3 linked regions of the Ovis aries genome follow. The protein of the gene in region 1 purifies or fractionates together with the protein of each later gene. This does not show direct contact. Links are inferred from orthologs where the notes say so. Each region holds a gene or a part of one and is shown in the gene's direction. Other genes may lie near its edges. The genes, in order: TNS2, UTRN and DTNB.

Region 1 (3,315 bases):
CTTCTGGTTTGTGCCACTTCATCAGTGGGCCTCCTCTGGGCCGAGCCTCTTTCTAGCAGATGATTCTGGGTTTTAGGCCCGAGGAGGTCTCACCTGCTCAGTGCCCAGTGCACTGACTCCCCAGTGGCATCCTGGGTGCTGACACCACAGCTGTCAGGGCCAGAGGTCTGGGGGGCTCGGGCAGCAGAGCGGAGGGGCTGCCTGGGGCTTGGTCTGCCCCTGTGAAAGCTTCTCCTGCCTCCCCCAGCCATCACCCTGCTGAAGGACAAAGACCCTGGGGCCTTCCTGATCAGGGACAGTCATTCATTCCAAGGAGCCTATGGGCTGGCTCTCAAGGTGGCCACGCCCCCTCCCAGCGCCCAGTCCTGGAAAGGTACAGAGTGGCCCAGCCTGAGGGGGAGGGGATGGGGTGAGGGAGGCACAGAGGCAAGACCAGGCAGGGTGGCCCGTGTCACTTCATAGTAGGGAGGAGGAGGAGATGAGCTCTCCTGCTTGGTAGAGAATTCCAGCAGAGAAGTAGAACCTGGAATCTTCTCCCCTCCTCTCCACTCCTGTCAGGGGACCCCTCGGAACAGCTGGTCCGCCATTTTCTCATTGAGACTGGGCCCAAAGGGGTGAAGATCAAGGGCTGTCCCAGCGAGCCCTACTTTGGTGAGAAGCAGGGGTGGGGAAGGCTGCACTTGGCATTGCAGGGAGGCCAAGAGGTGTCAGGAGGGAGGTGGAGGACTGGAGGTGTCTCTGGGCACCTCAGGAGCCCGCTCGCCTTTCCCCTGCAGGCAGCCTGTCAGCCCTGGTCTCCCAGCACTCCATCTCCCCACTGTCCCTGCCCTGCTGCCTGCGCATTCCCAGCAAAGGTGGGTGTCTGGGCATCTGTCCTCCCCCTTCTCCCCTCCCACTGTGGCCAAAGGCACAATCTCCGGTCCTGGCTCCCTGCCTGCCTGCCTTCCCTTGGGACGGCAGAGGGTACCCTCAGCTCCTGGGACTGCCACTCCCTGCTGACCCCCATTTCCCTCAGATCCTCTGGAGGAGGTCCCAGAGGCCCCAGTGCCCAGCAACATGAGTACAGCGGCAGACCTCCTGCGTCAAGGCGCCGGTACGGGCCTCTCCCTCCTTCCCTTCCCCGCGCACCAGATAGGACACCCCTGACACATGGGGAACAGAAAGGCCTTGTGTGTGGGCCAGCCCTGGCAGATGCACCTCACCCAGGAAGGCAGGGGAGGCCTGTCCCCATAGACATGATGGGATGGGGAGACCTGTCTAGGCTGCAGGGGTGCGGTCTTGTTAGAATGCAGATTCTCCAGCCTCTTTCCAGCATCTCTGACTAAAGACCTCGCGCAGTCACCTGCCTTTTTAACAGGCTACCTGTGTGACGGATGCATTTTGAGCAGCACTAGCTGGGGAAAATGCGAGAGCTGGGCGGGTGGAACACGGAGGGGAGATGGAACTGGGGTTGGCAGAGCCACTGCTCCCTGCTCCCTTCAACCCACTCCTCACCGTGCAGCCTGCAGCGTGCTCTACCTGACCTCAGTGGAGACGGAGTCGCTGACAGGCCCCCAAGCAGTGGCACGGGCCAGCTCCGCAGCTCTGAGCTGCAGCCCTCGCCCTGCGCCAGCCGTCGTCCACTTCAAGGTCTCAGCCCAGGGCATCACACTCACAGACAATCAAAGGAAGTGAGTATGTGTGCCGGGTAAGCCCCTGGGGGACCCCAGGCACAGACCCCGGGAGCCCCGATTTCTGGGTGACTTTCCCCACCCTCATCCTTCCAGGCTCTTCTTTCGCCGCCATTATCCAGTGAACAGCATCACCTTCTCCAGCACTGATCCTCAGGACCGGAGGTGACCCTCCCTCCCAGCCCTTTCATCCCACAGTCCCCACAGCCCAGCTTCTCCACTGGTAGCTCTTCCCTGGGTGCATCCCTTCACAGTTCTTCTCCTTCCGCAGATGGACCAACTCCGACGGGACCACCTCCAAGTAAGCCTCTGCCAGGGTGCCATCTCCCCTCCCAGCGCGGCATCAGCATGGTGTCCAGGCGCCTGCTTGCTCCCCATCCCTGGCATGGCCATCCCTGAGGAAGGGGTGCTCATCGCTCCCCACCCTGCCTTTGTGCCCCCAGGATCTTTGGTTTCGTGGCCAAGAAGCCGGGAAGCCCTTGGGAGAATGTGTGCCACCTCTTCGCAGAGCTTGACCCAGATCAGCCTGCAGGCGCCATTGTCACCTTCATCACCAAAGTTCTACTGGGCCAGAGGAAATGAAGGAAGGCCACAAGCTCCAAGCCCACGTCGACACTGTGCCCCTCTCAGCACCACACAGCCCTCACTTCCCCTGGCCTGGACCCAGGAGACCCAGGAGCCGGCCTCTCCCCTAGGAATGGGGAGCGGACACAACGGCCTGGGACGCTGCTCTCCTTCCCCGCCCCCAGCCTGCTAAGCGAAGTGGATGGGCCCATGAGATGACCTTGCATGTGAGCAGAGGGCAGAGACGGTGTGTGAGGGTGAGGTGGTGGAGCCTGGAGGGGGTTATCTGGACAGCCCCACCTGCAGGAGAGCATCTGCGCTGGAGGGGGAGACAGGCCTTGCCTGCTCTACCAGCTGCAGGTCCCAGCACGGCAGGGAGAGGGGAGAGGTGTGGGGAGCAAGGCACTCCCTCCTTTACCTCCCCTCTGAGCAGAGAGATCAGAGTAGGATCACATGAAAAGGGGGGGAAAGAAAAAAAAAATAAGAGTCTATTTTTGTCTAATAATAAAGAGTTTCTATAATGTTTAGTTAGAGTTAGACTCATGCCTGTTTCCAGGAAGGACAAAGCCTCGGGTCTCCCGGGACCACACCTGTGTTTCTTAGGGCACCCCAGGCCCAAGCCATGCCTGTGGTACACACATGATCCCTCTCCCTGGCCCCACAGCCCTTCGCCACTCCCTCCTCCAGCCCAGTCCCCGGCTCGTGTACTGGGAAGGATTCCCCTGTCCCGGCTGTACTGATAAATATGGAAACTCCATCTTTATTGGCTGTATAAACATCTCTGGTCTGTACATACATTTCATACATCATAGTGCAGGGCCTGAAGGGAGGGCCAAAGTGGAGGCCCCCGCAGTACAACAGCTCACTGCTTCCCCTAAAGCCCTGCCCACTCTCCCCAAACCAAGGCCAACGGCTCCTGCTCCCTCTCCCTCCCGGAAGCCACAGTGTGGGCAGGAGTCAGGGTCAAGAGGCTAGGAGACTGGAGGGCTTGGTGGGGGAGGACACGTGTAAGTGCTAGATCAAACACTGAAGCAAAACAGGCAACTGGCACAGGCAGCAAGCAGGGTGCGGGTGGGGCAGC
Region 2 (3,748 bases), on another chromosome or scaffold:
CTGACAAGAGAACCTAAGTTATGAAAATCTTTATTTATAAGTTGAAAGTTTTTGTTTTGAAGCAGGAGAGAAAAAAAAGAGTTAAACAGGAATAAAAAGCCCATGAGGCAGTATGGGTCATGGTTTTCCTTGCTGTTGAATGTGTGTGGATGACATCTGTATGTTGCTGTTGTTGCGTTGCTAAGTCGTGTCCAGCTCTTTTGCAACCCCATGGACTGTAGCCCATCAGGCTCCTCTGTCCATGGGATTTTCTGGGCAAGAATACTAGAGTGGGCTGCCATTTTCTTCTCCCTGGGATCTTCCCGACCCTGGGATTGAACTTGTGACTCCAGCATTGATTCTTTATCACTGAGGCACCTGACATCTGTGTTCCGTGATAATAAAAGAGCAAGGCAAATACACAAGATAGAACAGGCTGGAAAATATGAGTCAAAACTGTTACCTCTGATCTTATGATTCTGTGTGGTTGAATGTATTTTTTTCCATAATAGCAATCTCTAAGGAATTAAGAAATTCTTTTGAGTTCCATTTTTCCCAAGGTGTATATGCATATTGAAGTGAAATAACAAGTTCAATTTATGCTTTGAAGTAGAGTTAATATATAACCAAACTCTTCAGTCCAGTTGTATACCCAGGGCAAACACCTCTATTTATATACATGTGGGTAAGGAGGTGGGTGGAGGTGTCCTTATCAGCTGACGCTGTCAAAAACAGGAAGCAAAGTTACAATCTCTTTGTAGTGGATCAGAAACATTCAAAGGCCCTGCGTTGTGACAATTAAAAGAACAGTGACAGAAAATGACCTAAGGAATTTTCACTAACTGCGAAGTGTAACATCCTGTCTGGTATTTAGAAGAGATTCAGCTAGGTTTTAGTCAGATCCTCTCATGGGAAAAATAAAAGCCACGGCGAAACAGGACATCCCAGTGTGCAGTTCGCAGGCTGCTTCTGTTAAAATCCACTTCCTCTGCATCTTTTTCCTCGTCACTTAAGCAAATGTAGGTGATGAGCGGCCCGGCGGCCACTGCGTTTCGTTGGAAAAAGTACAGATTTGATGTGCCAGGACACGTAGCTCGCCAGTCTGGCAAGCATTTACCAGGTAAGTTTGTCAGCTTGCCTGCCTGACTCCCTGCCCTCCCTCCGCTGAGGTTTTGAAAAGAGGATGTCAGCCAAGACGGGGCTCTCTCAGTCACTTACTGAACCCAGTGTGTTAAGTAACAGAGCTGCTGGAGGCAGGACCAAGTTGGGGATGGGAACACCCCGGCATGTTCTTCCTGATGTCGCATCTGTTGTAGAGTCTGAGGAGTCGAGACCAGCATTGTGGGGTTTCATCTTTTCTTCAGAATGCGATGATTTTCCAGTTCTTGGCTTCTTGGAAAAAAGTACATAAGGAGCCATATATTTGTTGTGACAACATGTTTCATATATTTTCAAACTAGCTTATTTCTGTCCTATAGAGAAAGTTTCCTTTGCGCTGTTGCGTAGGGATAGTGTACTATTGTACTTGATTTACTGTGCTGACTAAAAATGTATTTTACTTTTAAAAGTGGTTCAGAGCTGATTAAGGGGAGAATCAGACGTACTTTTGGGCAGATTGTAAATGGAGGGGTTTTGTGTTTAGGCAGTCTTGTGCAGAAGAACTCAGACTCGGAACTTCATGTTAGATGTGGTCATGCACTTTTCTGTTGCTGGAGTTTACTTCCAGGGGGACCTAGATTTTTTGATTAGTTCTGATGTCCATATAGATCAAAGAAACTTGATGGGAAAAAAAATAAAAAACTCAAGTGATGTGTAATACTTGACCTTACATATCATGCTTGAATGTTGTTAGTATGGAACAACTTTTAGACTGGTCAGAATTTTTAAAAAATGGTTTTCTTTCTTTTGGAATTACTCTTTCCCTCTTAAGTTTTCCTCCCTAACTCCATGTGAATGTGGTGGTAAATGCTGGTAGGCATCCTCTCCCTGGAATGAATTCTCAACTAGAATGATTGGAGCAGCCCATGTTTTCTTAGCAAATTTGGCTTCTTGGCCAAGTGTAATAAGAGATCAGCATGGTATAATTCACTTTGTTGGCTGTTACTTTTCTCTCTTATTTAAAGAACCGTGTGGTCTCAACAGAAAATTAAAATATCTGTCAGAAACCTGAATTAAAACCTCAGGTACAAGAGCAGCATTGAAAGGCTACAAATATATATCTTGACTTTCACTTAATTCTCTTCCTTTTCCCAGCGTGAATAATCTTCATTGTCTGCTAGTCTGTGCAGTAATGTCTTGCTACCAAGGGTCTCAGAAATAGGAAGATAATTAGAAGTAAAAAATTCAAATAAACTTTTAAATAATAAGCAAACTTTTATACGGGTAGACTTCAGCTTTAAACATGAATTCTCATTCATTCATACAGCATTATTTCCTACTCTGTGGTCAGTCCAAAGGCTTTAGGAAAGTAAAAAGCATTTTTAAAAAAAATACATTTTAGGGCACATTATTTTAATAAAAATAGAAGATTAGTGTGTATATGATTTGCAAGGACCTAGATTCTTTTCTTATTGGCTGTTATTAATTTACTATTTTCTTATATCTACAGGATAGCTCTCTTTAGTGATCTTGTAAATAAAGGTATAAAAAAGTACATGTTTATGGGTGGCACATTCCATTGCAATATGTGGCTATTTTTGATCTTCAAGCAGTCTCCATAATAGATTAAACTTTGGGGTGAATCCTTTATATACAGACCTCAAGTAAGGTGGAAAGAGTGAAACCATAAGTGTTTTGCATTAAACTGTTGATGTTACTGGGGTTGAGGTTTCACATGACTTCTGCAGAACCTAAAGGGAGTAATAAAACAAGTAATAAAATGGAATAAATTGAAATATATATTTGTTGAAAATAAGCCTTTCAGTGTTATTTTTGAAACTGCCCATCCTTTTGCCCTGTGTTATCTTCTAAAATGTGCAACTCTAATTTAGTGCATTTGCTTCTCAGTAAGTTGAAATCTGATTATCTGTATCACTCTCTCTCTGGTATAGAATCATTACATTTTAAAATATTTAAAATATTTCTTTGCCTTTTCTTAATCTTGATGTCTGTGTACAAATGCCCAAATGTTAACAAATAATCTAATTGAAGGAGAATAAGTTTTTAAAAAAAGGCTTGAAGGTGTGAAATAAAAACTTACTCGGAGTTGCAGGCATCTACCAACGCACAGATGATTTAGGTCTGCCCAGGAAGCCACTTCTGGGAGGCCTCGCTTTTCTTGCCATCCTTCCTGCCTTCTCTTCAGGCTGACAGAACTCTGAGTCAGTCATTTTGAATGGGTTCACATATTCTCAACCTTGGCTGCACGTTAGAATCACCAGCGTGCTGGAGCCCCACGCCGGGGATCTTGGTATAATTAGACTGAGGCCCTGACTGTAACTGTTCAAAAGCTGCCCAAGTGATTCTGATGGGGATTCAAGATGGAAGCATATGGGGGAAGTGTATGGGTCCTTGTTAGACTGAAAGCTCCAGAAGAAGGACAGGAAGGAAGCTTATGCTTTCCTTCTGCACTCAGCCCATGCCTGTTGGCAGGGGAGTCTCAGGTTCCGCTTGAGGAATGGGTGGGTGAACAGATTCCTCTAAGCTGGAGGAGGCTACAGGAGGATCAGACCTCCTGCTTTCTGGTTTGAGCTGATGGAGAAGAGTGTTACAAGAGACTATGGTCTGTCTGAAGATGGCTGTCATTGGGAAGAAGCTCTTGGAAGAGCTC
Region 3 (3,748 bases), about 100 Mb from region 1:
AGGATGCTCTAAAGACAGGCAGGCAGACCACAGCAGAAGGTGGCACAATCTGCTTTACTATAAGGTGCCAAAAAGCGTGAAAAACCAGACTCAAAGCACAGGGCTGTCTTAGCTTACGGATTTACATCCGCCACCAACATATCAAAAGTCCTTAAAGGACACTGCTGTTTTCAGCCTTAAATGATGTTGACAAGAATGATCCTATGCGGAGGGAGGTAGAGAGGGAGGTTCAAGAGGGAGGGAACAAATGTATACCTATGGCTGATTCATGTTAATGTTTGGCAGAAACCAACACAATTCTGTAAAGCAATTATCCTTCAATTAAAAAAAATAAATTAAGAAAAGAATGATCTTTTGAGTGCTTAAAAAAAAAAGCTTTGCTGTTCCCCATGTAGCATCATCTGTTTCACGTAGTTTGGAAAGGATTCTATCAAAAACGGATATTCAAAAAAAGCCGATGCAGAGATGGTACACCTCCGTCGCTCTCTGTTCCTTTGCCCAAGCTGTTTACCTAAATTTTGATGTCCCTCCCTTTTTTCCGTCCTAGGACTCCTCTCTATCTTCCTTGCAGGCTGAACACAGATGCCGCCTCTTCCAGGAACCTCTCCGCATCGTCCAGGCGGAAGTAATCTCTTCCTCCTCTGAGCTCCCACAGCATCTCATAGTGGCTCTGGCTTTGCATGGGTCACCAGACCTGGTTGTTTACACGGCTGCTTTTCCACTAAGTTATGCGCTCCTGGAGACCGGGGACCGTGACCGTGACGGTGTACCCACACAGCACCTGGTACAGCGTTACAGAGCTAGGCACCGAGTCGGTGCTCAGTAAACAGTTTGCTGAGTTGAACTAATTTGGAAATACCACTCAGGGCAGTGACTCCTGCTCCAGGCGCGGATGATGAATGATTTATGGGGGTGGTTCTTCGCATTCTTTACCTTGTAGTCACGTCGGGCCGAACATCCAGGTGGCGGGGTACATACCTGTGGAGTTGAAACGCACCTCCGCCGCCCGCCGCCGGCTCTCGGGAAAAGCCCGCAGGGGGCAAGTTTCCCCCGCCCTCCCGGAACCGGGCCGCAGGGGGCGGGGTTCGAAGGGAACCCGGCCCGCCGGCCCGCCCCCTCCTCGGCGCGGCGGAAGCCCCGCCCCCAGCCGCGCGCTCGCGCAGGCGGCGCGTGCCCGCCCCCAGCCCTGCGCCCTCGCGCCCTCGCGCCCTCGCACCGGGGGCGGGCTCGCTGCGCGTGCCGGGAGGGTAAGCGGCGCGAGCCGGGTGCCTGAGAACGTTCGCCGCGGGGGCGGCTCCGAGGCCTGAGCGGGCGCTGCCACCGCCACAACCGCGGGGGCCGGGCCGGAGGAGGCGGAGGAGGTTGCAGCCGCCGGAGTCCTTCTCGACGCCCCCAGATCCGGCCGGGAAGTGAGTACGGCGAGGGTTTGCGGCCGCTGCCCCAGGCTGCGGGAGAGGAGCGCGGTGCCGGAGCCTCGCGCCCGCAAGGAGCGGGAAGGCACCCGCGCAGCGCCCGCACCCCGGCAGCCTGCGGGGGTTTGCAGGGCCGGGAGCGGCGGAGACGGCCCCCCGGGATCCGGGGCCGCTGCACCGCGCGCGCTGTGAACGGAGACCGCTCCGCGCTCCCGGCCCTGGAGGGGCGAGCGGAGAGGATGGAGCGGACTCCGCGGCCGGCGTTGCCGGCCTCTGAGCCCTGGGTCGGGTAGGGGGCTCCGGTGTTCCGATCGCGCTTTGGCTGGCGGACATGGAGCCGGGGTGCGGGCGCAGGGTGATGCTGCCCGAGCCCGGCTTGGTGGAAGGAGGCTCTGCATTAGGTGTTGAAGGGGGCGAAGGAGGCAGGTCCTGGCAGAGGGCAGGTGAGTCAGGCAGGCCCTGGCAGAGGGAAGGGAATTTATTTCAGATCATCCCCAAACACTATTTCCCGAGGCGCCTAACTGTGACCCTGTGCACCGAGGTCACCCTTTTAAGGAAAGTGTCCTGAGAGGAGGAAGGATGCAACTAACGAATGCTTGCTGTTAAATTCCTGTGCCAGGCCTTGGGATTAGGAAGACCTTCCAGCAGCCTCAGCAGACAGTTTGTTGGTTAACTACCTTGGGTAGAGAACCGTAGTCAGCACTGGGGTCACAATTGTGTAAAGCACAACCATCATTTGCTACTTAGGTGCTGGCAGTTTGGTTGTAAAGGTTTGCGTAAGAAATACAAAGCAGCTTTGAATTTTGTCTCTTTCACTTTGTCTTCTTCCCAGTAGTATTGGGAAATTGGAGCCATAAAATTGCTTGGTTTGAGGATTAAAGCAGGAGGGTCAAGGAAGCTTGTGGGAGGTATTTGGGAGAGTTTTATAGACACTTCTGTGTAACATTTAAAGAGAGAGAAGGAAAAAAGGAAATTGGAAAGAGGAAGTTCCCTTTCTTCCCAAGCAGCAGGCACTGAAAACTGCATGAATGAATGGACCAAGCAAGGTTTTGCTCTATTTTATGTGAAGCACTGTTGATCAGTGTGATGTTAGGGATGCTGATGGACTTCCCTTGTGCCTTAAGTTTCCTCTCTCTTTTTTGCCCTGTAAGAGGTTCTTAGGTTTGGGCTAAGCAAGTGGCTAAGGTGATGGAGTTGTATCTTGTGGCTGTGCTGCCACCTTCGCTACTTTATTCTGTGTTGACTGCCAGGGTCTTACTCCTAGGGTCATTGCTTCAAATCATCCCATCCTGGCCTTTCTCTCTGCTGTCACTTGAGGAAGGGGAAAATGTCTGTCTAGAGAGCATGCTTTCATTTTTATCTTGGCTCTTGCATCTTAGATCTGTGGTCAGCGAATGTGACTCTGATCTTACCCATGAGGGCTGGGACTCTGCGTTTTTTCCTGCCTTCATTGAATTTCTGGACTCTCAAGCTCCAGGCTGCTGTTTCAGTTGCCTGGGTTGCAGTGCCTGTTGGGTTACTTTGTCTGCCAAACTAAAACTTGACCTTTTATGAGTTCTGGGAGGATTTTTATCATACATCAGTGGAATTACCTTTGAAGGCAGTTGTGTAGTCAGCGTAGTGTTGGCAGGAGTTTTGAGTGTCCACTATGACTGAGAGAGAAAATTTCTACTTAGGAAGTCAGATTTAAAACCAATGGAATTGGTTTAAAGCACTTACTTTATATCTTTAAATCTCTCAGGACCTATGTTTCCTTGTATAAAAATAAAATATTAATTCAAATTTGGCCTTGTGTGGTGAGCCTTGAAGAACTAAGTCAATTTCTCTTTAGTTTTAGGGCGGTAACACTTAATTAAGAGTGCATCCATCAGGTGTCTACTAGTTCTTATTTTGGGGTACCTCAGTGCTGTACTTTAGTATGCCTTGTTCTCCATTTTCTCAGTAATATTGTGTTTTATTTATTTATATACTTAGTTTACATTTAGAAGTAGAAGTGTTTGTCTCTCAGTCATGTCTGACTCTTTGCAACCCCATGGACTGTAGCCTGCCAGGCTCCTCTGTCCATGGAATTCTCCAGGCAAGATTACTGGAGTGGGTTGCCATTTATTTCTAAATCACCTTTATTGATGTTTGCACAGATGTCCTGTGCAGAGCTGGTGGAGTTTGAAAAATGTATATACAGATCTTCCTCAGCTTCTGATGGGGTTATGTCTGATAAACCCACTGTAAATTGAAAGTACAGTAGGTTAAAAATGCATTTAATACACCCCATCTACCAAACATCATAGCTTAAGCTAGCCTACCTTAAACATGCTCAGAACACTTACATTAACCTA

Evidence for each region.
Region 2: the proteins of TNS2 (region 1) and UTRN purify together in Homo sapiens (affinity purification with mass spectrometry; 4 studies listed by BioGRID and IntAct, with this or other methods). This does not show direct contact. The link is inferred for Ovis aries from reciprocal best matches to the Homo sapiens genes TNS2 and UTRN.
Region 3: the proteins of TNS2 (region 1) and DTNB purify together in Homo sapiens (affinity purification with mass spectrometry; 3 studies listed by BioGRID and IntAct, with this or other methods). This does not show direct contact. The link is inferred for Ovis aries from reciprocal best matches to the Homo sapiens genes TNS2 and DTNB.

What each region holds. Positions count from the first base shown.
Region 1 is NC_056056.1:133,377,941-133,381,255, reverse strand, and holds the end of TNS2 (tensin-2), read left to right. Parts: intron 1-247; coding exon 248-373; intron 374-558; coding exon 559-651; intron 652-776; coding exon 777-854; intron 855-1,015; coding exon 1,016-1,093; intron 1,094-1,501; coding exon 1,502-1,670; intron 1,671-1,766; coding exon 1,767-1,835; intron 1,836-1,941; coding exon 1,942-1,971; intron 1,972-2,113; coding exon 2,114-2,252; 3' UTR 2,253-2,761; downstream 2,762-3,315. UniProt on the Homo sapiens protein: Tyrosine-protein phosphatase which regulates cell motility, proliferation and muscle-response to insulin. Phosphatase activity is mediated by binding to phosphatidylinositol-3,4,5-triphosphate (PtdIns(3,4,5)P3) via the SH2 domain.
Region 2 is NC_056061.1:68,902,320-68,906,067, forward strand, and holds the start of UTRN (utrophin), read left to right. Parts: upstream 1-983; 5' UTR 984-1,005; coding exon 1,006-1,099; intron 1,100-3,748.
Region 3 is NC_056056.1:33,029,709-33,033,456, reverse strand, and holds the start of DTNB (dystrobrevin beta), read left to right. Parts: upstream 1-1,236; 5' UTR 1,237-1,409; intron 1,410-3,748.